2 linked regions of the Mus musculus genome follow. The main gene of each other region encodes a partner of the protein of the gene in region 2 in a complex. Links are inferred from orthologs where the notes say so. Each region holds a gene or a part of one and is shown on either strand. Other genes may lie near its edges.

The links.
Region 1: Epc1 (region 2) and Ing3 share a complex: the UniProt entries of both Homo sapiens proteins name them as parts of the nuA4 histone acetyltransferase complex. The link is inferred for Mus musculus from reciprocal best matches to the Homo sapiens genes EPC1 and ING3.

The regions. Positions count from the first base shown.
Region 1 is NC_000072.6:21,948,311-21,952,580, forward strand, and holds the start of Ing3 (inhibitor of growth protein 3), read left to right. Parts: upstream 1-1,304; 5' UTR 1,305-1,455; coding exon 1,456-1,483; intron 1,484-1,727; coding exon 1,728-1,799; exon of another isoform or gene 1,800-2,010; intron 2,011-3,818; coding exon 3,819-3,919; intron 3,920-4,270. UniProt on the Homo sapiens protein: Component of the NuA4 histone acetyltransferase (HAT) complex which is involved in transcriptional activation of select genes principally by acetylation of nucleosomal histones H4 and H2A.
Region 2 is NC_000084.6:6,449,193-6,453,010, forward strand, and holds part of Epc1 (enhancer of polycomb homolog 1), read right to left. Parts: intron 3,201-3,818; coding exon 3,041-3,200; intron 1,448-3,040; coding exon 1,274-1,447; intron 1,195-1,273; coding exon 1,105-1,194; intron 1,026-1,104; coding exon 877-1,025; intron 66-876; coding exon 1-65. UniProt on the Homo sapiens protein: Component of the NuA4 histone acetyltransferase (HAT) complex, a multiprotein complex involved in transcriptional activation of select genes principally by acetylation of nucleosomal histones H4 and H2A.

The sequences.
Region 1 (4,270 bases), on a different chromosome or scaffold from region 2:
GTAAACAAACGTGGCTGCTTTTGAACAAAGAGCACAAACAGATAAATAGTTTTAGTACAAAATTTAAATTAAACAGGTGTAGACTAAATATATTTAACATTCAAGTAATAAGAAAATGGCTTTAAAAGAAGACAAAAGAGAATACAAGTATGTCATTGTAAATAAAATTGTAACATAAAAATATTGAGTAGTGAATAAAATGTGTCATACTGATTTATTTTCTTTTGTATGAGAAAGGGTCTTCCATAATCTGGGTTGGCTTCTAATTGCCTATGTTGCCAAAGCTCACACTCCTAATCCTCCTGTCTCAATTCTCCCACTTAGGGGATTACAGGTGTGTGGTGTTATAATCCACCAGATAGTCTAAGAAGGGATCATTTTCCCCAAAACACAGAAGCATTTAGTGTACGAATTTTTATGAAAGGCATTTTTAAGATAGAAACGGGGCGGTGATACACTTGTTATACCACCAGTGAACATTTGCTAGGGTTATTAAAAAAGCCTGCCCAGAACTATAAACATTAACCCAGCTACTTACCCAACATAAATTTAAATCATTGTTAGTATATGCCAGCAATGCATTAAATCACTATAATTTATGGTTGGTTGTTATTTATTCATCTATTTATTTACTTTATTGCGGATGCATTTGAACAGTTGTTTTACAATGAACACAAGATACACCGCAAAACATAACTGGCTACTGAATACTATTTTGGGTGTCTTTTAATTTGGGAAATGCACATTCGCTCCAGTCTCACTATAAATTATCTTAACGTTGCAGGGACACCAATCACTTGTCCCATTTATTTATCAGGAGTGAATAATGAAGATAAATTCCAGCAGCGAGTTCTGTTCTAAACAACCTGAATTTTCCGAACTTAGCCGATTATTCTAGCGTTTGGAATCTTTGCTATTTGCCTAGCACAGCCAGAAATCCATGACTCACAAACGGCGGGCTTAGAATCACCGCCCAGAACAGGTGAAAAGTTGTTCCTAGTTGTGTCAGGCAGGCGCATACAACTCCCGTCATCCCCCATGTAAGAAATCAACAAATAAACAGAGGCACCGCATTTCGGATTCTGGCGTGCCCGTTTCGCGCAGGCGTGTGGTTTCTGTAGTTGCCACTCCAAGAGACACCCTCACTAATGGCCACGCTCGGGGAAAAAGAAGACTACATTTCCCAGAATACCGCGGAGATCCGCACCGGCCGGTTGACGTCATCGCTGCAGACAGCCAATAGCAACGGCGGGCGGCAGTGAGGCAAGCGCCGTCAGGCGCCAAAGTGGAGCCTTTTTTTTTTTCCTTTGCTTTTTTTTTTTTTTTTTTCCTTTGCCGGAGTCGAGCGGGTGCTGCTAGCGGAGGCGCCATATTGGAAGGGACAAAACTCCGGCGACAGCGAGTGACACAAATAAACCCCTGGACCCGTTCGTCCCCGCAACAGTCAGGGCCGCGATGTTGTACCTAGAGGACTATTTGGAAAGTGAGTGCGCGGCGCCGGCGACGCGGCGGGCGGGATCGGCGGCGGGCGGGAGCGCGAGTGGCCGGGCGGGCGGGATGGCGGGAGGGAGGGGGAGCGGGGGATGTTTCTTTCTCACGGTAACTGGCAGCCTCGTTGTGAGCCGCCCCCCCTCCCGTACGCACGCACGCACGCACGCACACACGCGTGACGCCAGCGCGTCCCTTCGCCGTTGGCCCCGCCCTCTGACGGACTGTGCCTTTGACAGTGATTGAGCAGCTTCCGATGGACCTACGGGACCGCTTCACGGAGATGCGCGAGATGGATCTGCAGGTGCAGAGTAAGTGGCGCGTCTCCACGGCCCCGCGCAGCCCCGGCCTCCCTCGGGCATCGCCTGGCGGGTCCTCCGCGCTACTTTTTTCAGGCTGTGACAAGGAGGCGGCGGGCACACCGTACCGTTAACACGCGGGGCACAGCAAACACAGTTGTTTGTGTACTGCATGGAGATGACGACACTGCACCGCAGTGGAAACTCGCGTGATTTTCAGAAGGTTTGCACCCGAGCCTGGATGTGGAAACTTGGAGTTCTGCATTCAGACTTAAAAGTTCATTACATTCCGAATTTCTCCAGAGCAAAGACATAGAAGGGCAGGCTAGGGACCCTAGTGAACTCGGAAGGCCGAACTTTGACAAGTTGCATATTAATGGAAGACACTTAGAGCTGTGAACAGCGTGGACACTTTCTCAGCCAGAAATGAGTGAGAGAGATCAGATTTTAAGGAAATCACCCGCTTGCTCTTTAGAAAACTGTAGACGTTTGATAGGCTTCCCTACTGGTTTCTTGTTTTGTAAACACAACCACGTCATTCAGGCTGGTCTCACACTCAATATGTATAATAATCCTAGGCTTGCTCTAATCTCCTCATCTTCCTGCTTCTGTCTGCCTAGTGCTTGGCTTTTCAGGCATTGCTAGCATTGATTTTTTTTTCTGTCAGTGCTTGGCAGCTTTATATGTGACTTATTTCCAAAATGAACCTTGTTCTTTTGAAAAAGCCAGACTGGAAGAGGCTCAAAGGTAACTTGAGTTTGCTAAGGGCTTGTTCTCTTCATTCATGAGCCTCTGCCGCCCCTGCCCCTCATTTCTGTACCTTTTGTCCCTGACTGTACTTTTCTCATCTCAGTCTCTGGGTCATCTCTTGGGGTGCATTGCCCAATAGCCTCTCATAAATCTGTGACTGGAATAGGTGTGCTTTTTCTCTTTGACTTTAAGGTAGTTGCAGTAGTAAACACCTGCCGAAGCACATTCCAGAGGGATTGAGTAGAGTTTGGTGGCAGACAGATTTGGGTTCACTCTTGGACAGGACGACTAGGACAACTCCAGCCTTGCTGCCTGGGGGGCTTGTTTGCTTTTTTTTTTTTTTTTTAAAAACTGACAGTCTTCTGAGGATTTAAACTAATACAGATAATTAGGATGTATAATGCCCATTACAAATAGGTTTAGAATAAAGGATAATTTAAAACATTGTCAATCATTCAATTTTTTTAAAATTCTGGGATAGTTTGGATTTAATCTATTCATATGACAGTGCTTTCAAGTTTACTTACTTTGTAATCCTGGAGTTTTCGGAAACAAAGTGAGTAGGCATTAAAAGTATCAGCATGTCTAAGGTCAGCAAGTAGCTGAAAGTAAATTGTGTTTTAAAAATGAAGATTAACTAGAGCATCTCAGCATCTTTTGTAAAAAGCCATCCTGCTCTGAAGTTGCTTAAATGATAAATATAGTGGGCAATTTTTTCTCCATTTCCATCACAACAAAACCCCTTTTATTTATTTTTTTAGCAGCCATCCACTGAGGTCATTATTTTTGACCTGGGCTTTGGCGAAGCCTTACATAGAGTAAATAGCATGTGTGTTGAGTGAATAAATGGTGAGCAACGGTCACATATATTATCCCTTCCTGTGAGAGGACGTGATGAGGTGCTTGGTGCTATGGAGCAAGTGTTGACTCTGTCATCACTATTTTTATTAAAAGAAGTATGAGACCGTCCCAGGAGTACTGTTAGTAAGCAGCTCTGATTGCCGTAACCAGCTGACTTAATGCCATTAACTTTGATTTCAGTGCGGGTTGTGGCGTAGATCCTTGTCTGTACAATTCACTCTACCTTGATTACTGGAAAATGTTTTGAAATAGCAAAGTCAGTACAGAATATTTCAGCTTTTTAAAAACTAATGTAATGAAGGCACCACTGCTTATAGTACAAAATGTGTATAAGCTAAAACAGAGTTGTCAGATGTCTTTTTTTTTTCCTCAAATCAAAGCAGTTTGGTCGGCTAAGTATGAAATGTTTTATTGTGTCAGATGCAATGGATCAACTAGAACAAAGAGTCAGTGAGTTCTTTATGAATGCAAAGAAGAATAAACCCGAGTGGCGAGAAGAACAGATGGCATCCATCAAAAAAGTAAGTGTGATGCCTTGGATAATTGGCAGTCACATTGGGACCCTCTAGGAGAGATAGTAACATTACGTAGATACCTGGATATGGAGTGAGGGCACTTATGAGGGACTTGGGGGCACTTGGTATATTCTAGACCAGCAGTTCAACTCAAGGGGCAGATGACCTTTTCACAGGGTCACCAAAAGCCATCGGAAAACACATTACGATTCAGAAATAATCTCATGGCCGAGGCTCACCACAGCATGAGGACCTTTGTTAAAGGGTCACAATATTGGGAAGGTAGAGAAGCACTGGTTTAGAGCTTCCTGTAATTCTTGCTGAAGTTTATTTTAGCTAGTGCTGCGGGCCTTAAGG
Region 2 (3,818 bases):
GCATGTCCAAATCCAGGTGGTGAAACATACTGTCATAGTCTGAATGCGCTCTGTCCAGCACGACCCTGTACAAGGAGCAGACACCAGAGATTACATCAAAGTTTCTTCCTTTCTGTTCCGAACGCTTTCCCCTAAAGCTGAACACCAGTACACTGAATAGTTAAAAGTTGCCAAGTTCACCACGGCAGCATTTGACTCTTTCACACTGTGCGTGCACGGCATAGGGCACATAGCACAGCACACATGCATGCAGCAGCCAGAGGACAATTCCCAAGAGTTGATTCTCTCCTTCCACCACGTGAGTCCTGGGGACAGAACTCAGGCTGTCACCTTGGTGGCAAATGCTCCTTCCCACTGAGTCATCTTGTTGGCTTTGGTTCTTTTAGCCTCAAATCTCAATGCTGGATAAAGTTCTTTTTCTGTGCTTTGCAGTTCCTTCTCTCCTCCTCTCCATGCATGAAGTATTCTATTTCAGAGACCCAGAACCACATTCTGACACACTGAGGCCATGAGCAGCAAAGCTAAGTGGTCACTGCAGTAGTTAATATAAGGTTTGCCCCAGAACTCAGCGACTTTGGTTGTAGTTTCCTGAACCAATCCTGAGTGTGTAAATACAAGTTACACTTGTCCTTTCTTGGGAGTCTACCCTGGGATAACTCAGGTGCTAAGAAGCTTGGGGAGTTAAGAACCCACATGGGTCACGTGAGAACTACAAAGTGGGTGAAGACGTTGGTAATGCAGTGGGAGACGTGTAAACAGCTCTGCTAAGCACAGCAAACTGGAGCTTCTAGAGTCTGTTCACAAGGAGGACCTCAGTGTAAACTCTGACTCCAATGTCTAAGGCATGCTGGTGTGAGGAAAGCAGAAGCGTGTTACCTTCCACCACGTCCGACCCGTCTTCGTGCAAATCCAAGACACCTCTGGGGTACGGTGAGAGTAGTTAAGCAATATCTATATCGCACATCCCCCAGGCCTCCATCTTTAGGGCTAGTCCAGGGCCAGTTGCCAGTTTGGTCTAAATGAGGCTAAAAAAAAAAATCCAAATTATTGTATCTTGTCAGTCTGTCTGCTGTTTGTTGTTTACAGAGAAAGTCTGACACTTACAGCATAGTACTGACAGCCTGCTTTCCTACGGAAAGCAAAAGGGCCATCAGGGTCATTCTCTTCCTCAGCTTCCGAAGAGCCAGACAAAACCTTGAAATAAAGCAACGAGAGGTCAAAATGCAGTTCCTACGTTCCTCTTCCGTGTGCAGATAGCTGGTCTTCTGTTTACCTGTGACAGAGGCTCTTCATCTGAGCTGGGGAAGTCGTACTGGTTTAAGTCTTTAGCACTGAAGCCTGGCAGTGCAGCAGGACTCTGCTGCTGAGGGGCGGCAGCAGATGGGGGTAAGACTTTGGGCTTCTTTTCATATTTGCGCTTCGGCCGGATAAGATCAGCCTTATCTTGCTGCAACATAGGCATGAATGAGACAGTCACCCAGTAGCACATTCCACAACTGCAACTTCTGTAACAACTTGAGTTAATTATTACTTGGGGAGCCAAGTGCTTAAACTATTAAAACAGGCTTGAGTGTTCCTCCTGGTAGCCCCTCCTACCCTCAGAGGTTCAGTCTCAGTTTCCCCTAATAATCTACATTTGCTCTGTTCAAAACAAACATTTGCTTACAAGACTTATGTGTATGCACAGGTGCCTTCAAAAGGCAGAGAATATCAGATCCCCTGGAACTAGACTTGTAGGCAGTTGTATGCCATCTGACGTAGGTGCTGGCAACTCAACCCAGCAAGAACATTGTTCTCTGCAAGAACAATATGTGTTGCTAACTGTTCACCTATCTCTCCAGCCAGACAACACAAAAATTTGAATGAAAATTTAAATAAGAAAATGTTCAAAATAACAGGACTATTCCATTAATGATTCTGTCTTAATTTAGAAGGATTTAAGGTAAACTAGATCCAAGTGCATGGCTCATGTTTCTAGAACACACAGATGAATACAATGTTGTATAATTAGAATTGGAGTTAAGTTCTGAAATATGAAAATCAAAGTAAGACTAAGTGATATATAAAGTCATACATTTCAGACAGGTAGACAAAGACTTCAATATAAAAACAAGGAAAAATTATACATATGTAGGACTAGAAATTATGAGCAAAGAAATATTTTGGAGAGTGATCTTTAACTTGTTTTTGACAGGGGTAGTGGGGTGGAGGCGTTTCACTAAGTAGCCTTGCCTGGCTGAAGAAACTCACTATGTAGACCAGGCTGTGTCTCAAACTCAGAGATCTGCCAGGCGTGGCCTCTGCTGTGATTAACAGCCACCATTTGTGATTATCAAAGAGATTACTTCCATTCATCTGTCCAACATCCCAATACCTCAAAATCAACGTATCTGAAATAGTCTCTGTCAGTGCTCTGACAGGAAAAAAGTCTAGGCTGCAGAAACCATCATTCCAAATGATATGGTACATTATACACCAAATTAAAAAAAAAAATCACAGAAACAAAATAAACAGAACAGGTTAGATAACAAAATGATCAGCAGATTTCCTCAATTGAAATGGAATGGTAAGTCCGAGTTAAATGTTAGGTCATCAAACACTTCTCTCCTGAGGCACATTTATCAAAAGGGCATACTGCCTGCCCTCTCTTATTCTCCCTCACCAATTTTATTCTTCACAAATTATGATGTATCAACTTGTCAAAGTATTTATACTTCTGCCCATGTCACCAGCTGTTAACAAGACCTGCCTGTCACTCACACATAGATGTGTCCCGGAATGTTACATCGGGTGGGAGGGCTTCATATTCTTTCCAGGCCTCTAATCACGCCATTCATCACACCAACATTTCCTATCCCCTTTCAGCAAATCCCTCTTTTTATCAGACACAGAACAAAGCCTTCCCTTGTAAGGAAGCAAGAGAAGTAGAAATTAAATTGTCATGAAAAGCTCCCCAACCCCCTTAACTCCAGAACACCTTGCAGTGCAATTTATTCTTTTCACTGTTTACTGGATGCTACTGTTACAGAGCTCTAATCACCTTGTTAACTTTGAACTCCTTCGAGTCCGTGGCATCCTGGTGTTTGAACTGGCTGCTGTTAGTAATCGGGATGATGGGGATGGCATAAGTAGGCTTCACTGGCTGTCTCTGTGCCATGACCTCAGACATGATCTCTCCACTATAGTCACCTAAATTATACCTGAAATTACACAAAGGAAACTTTAAGATAGACACAGAATACAATGAGATGCTTCCATAAACACTGTGAAATGAGGTACAGTCCAACTAATTCAACAGCCACATCCTCAGATACATGTGTGCCTGCTGTAGGTGGGATAAAATCACTTAGGAAGGCTTTCAATATACTAGGTATTCAACAGTAACCCTGAATGCATATGGGTATTTTGCCTACTTGTATGTCTGTATACCATGTGTGTGCCTTCTTGCCCATGAGGCCAGAGAGGATACTGGACTCCCCTGGACCTAAACTTAACAGAAAGTTGTCAGATGCCACATAGGTGCTGAGAATCCAACCCAGGTTCTTTGAAAGAATAACCTCTAAGCCATCCTTAAGGCTCTCCCCTTGAATTCTTGGTCCTTTTGTTTCTACTACCTACTACAGGCATAAGCCACGATACCTGGGCCATCTGGCTCAAACTCAGAGCTTTCACGCCCAACAGCCATGCTCTCTATTGATGGAGTATTTAGCCTTATCTCGGCACACAGTGACTGCGGGGAAAATCCCAAGGCTGAAATGCCTCAAGTAGAGCCAAAAGCTACCCTGCCAATTAGTGTTGTCTTTTTTCTCCTGAAAGAA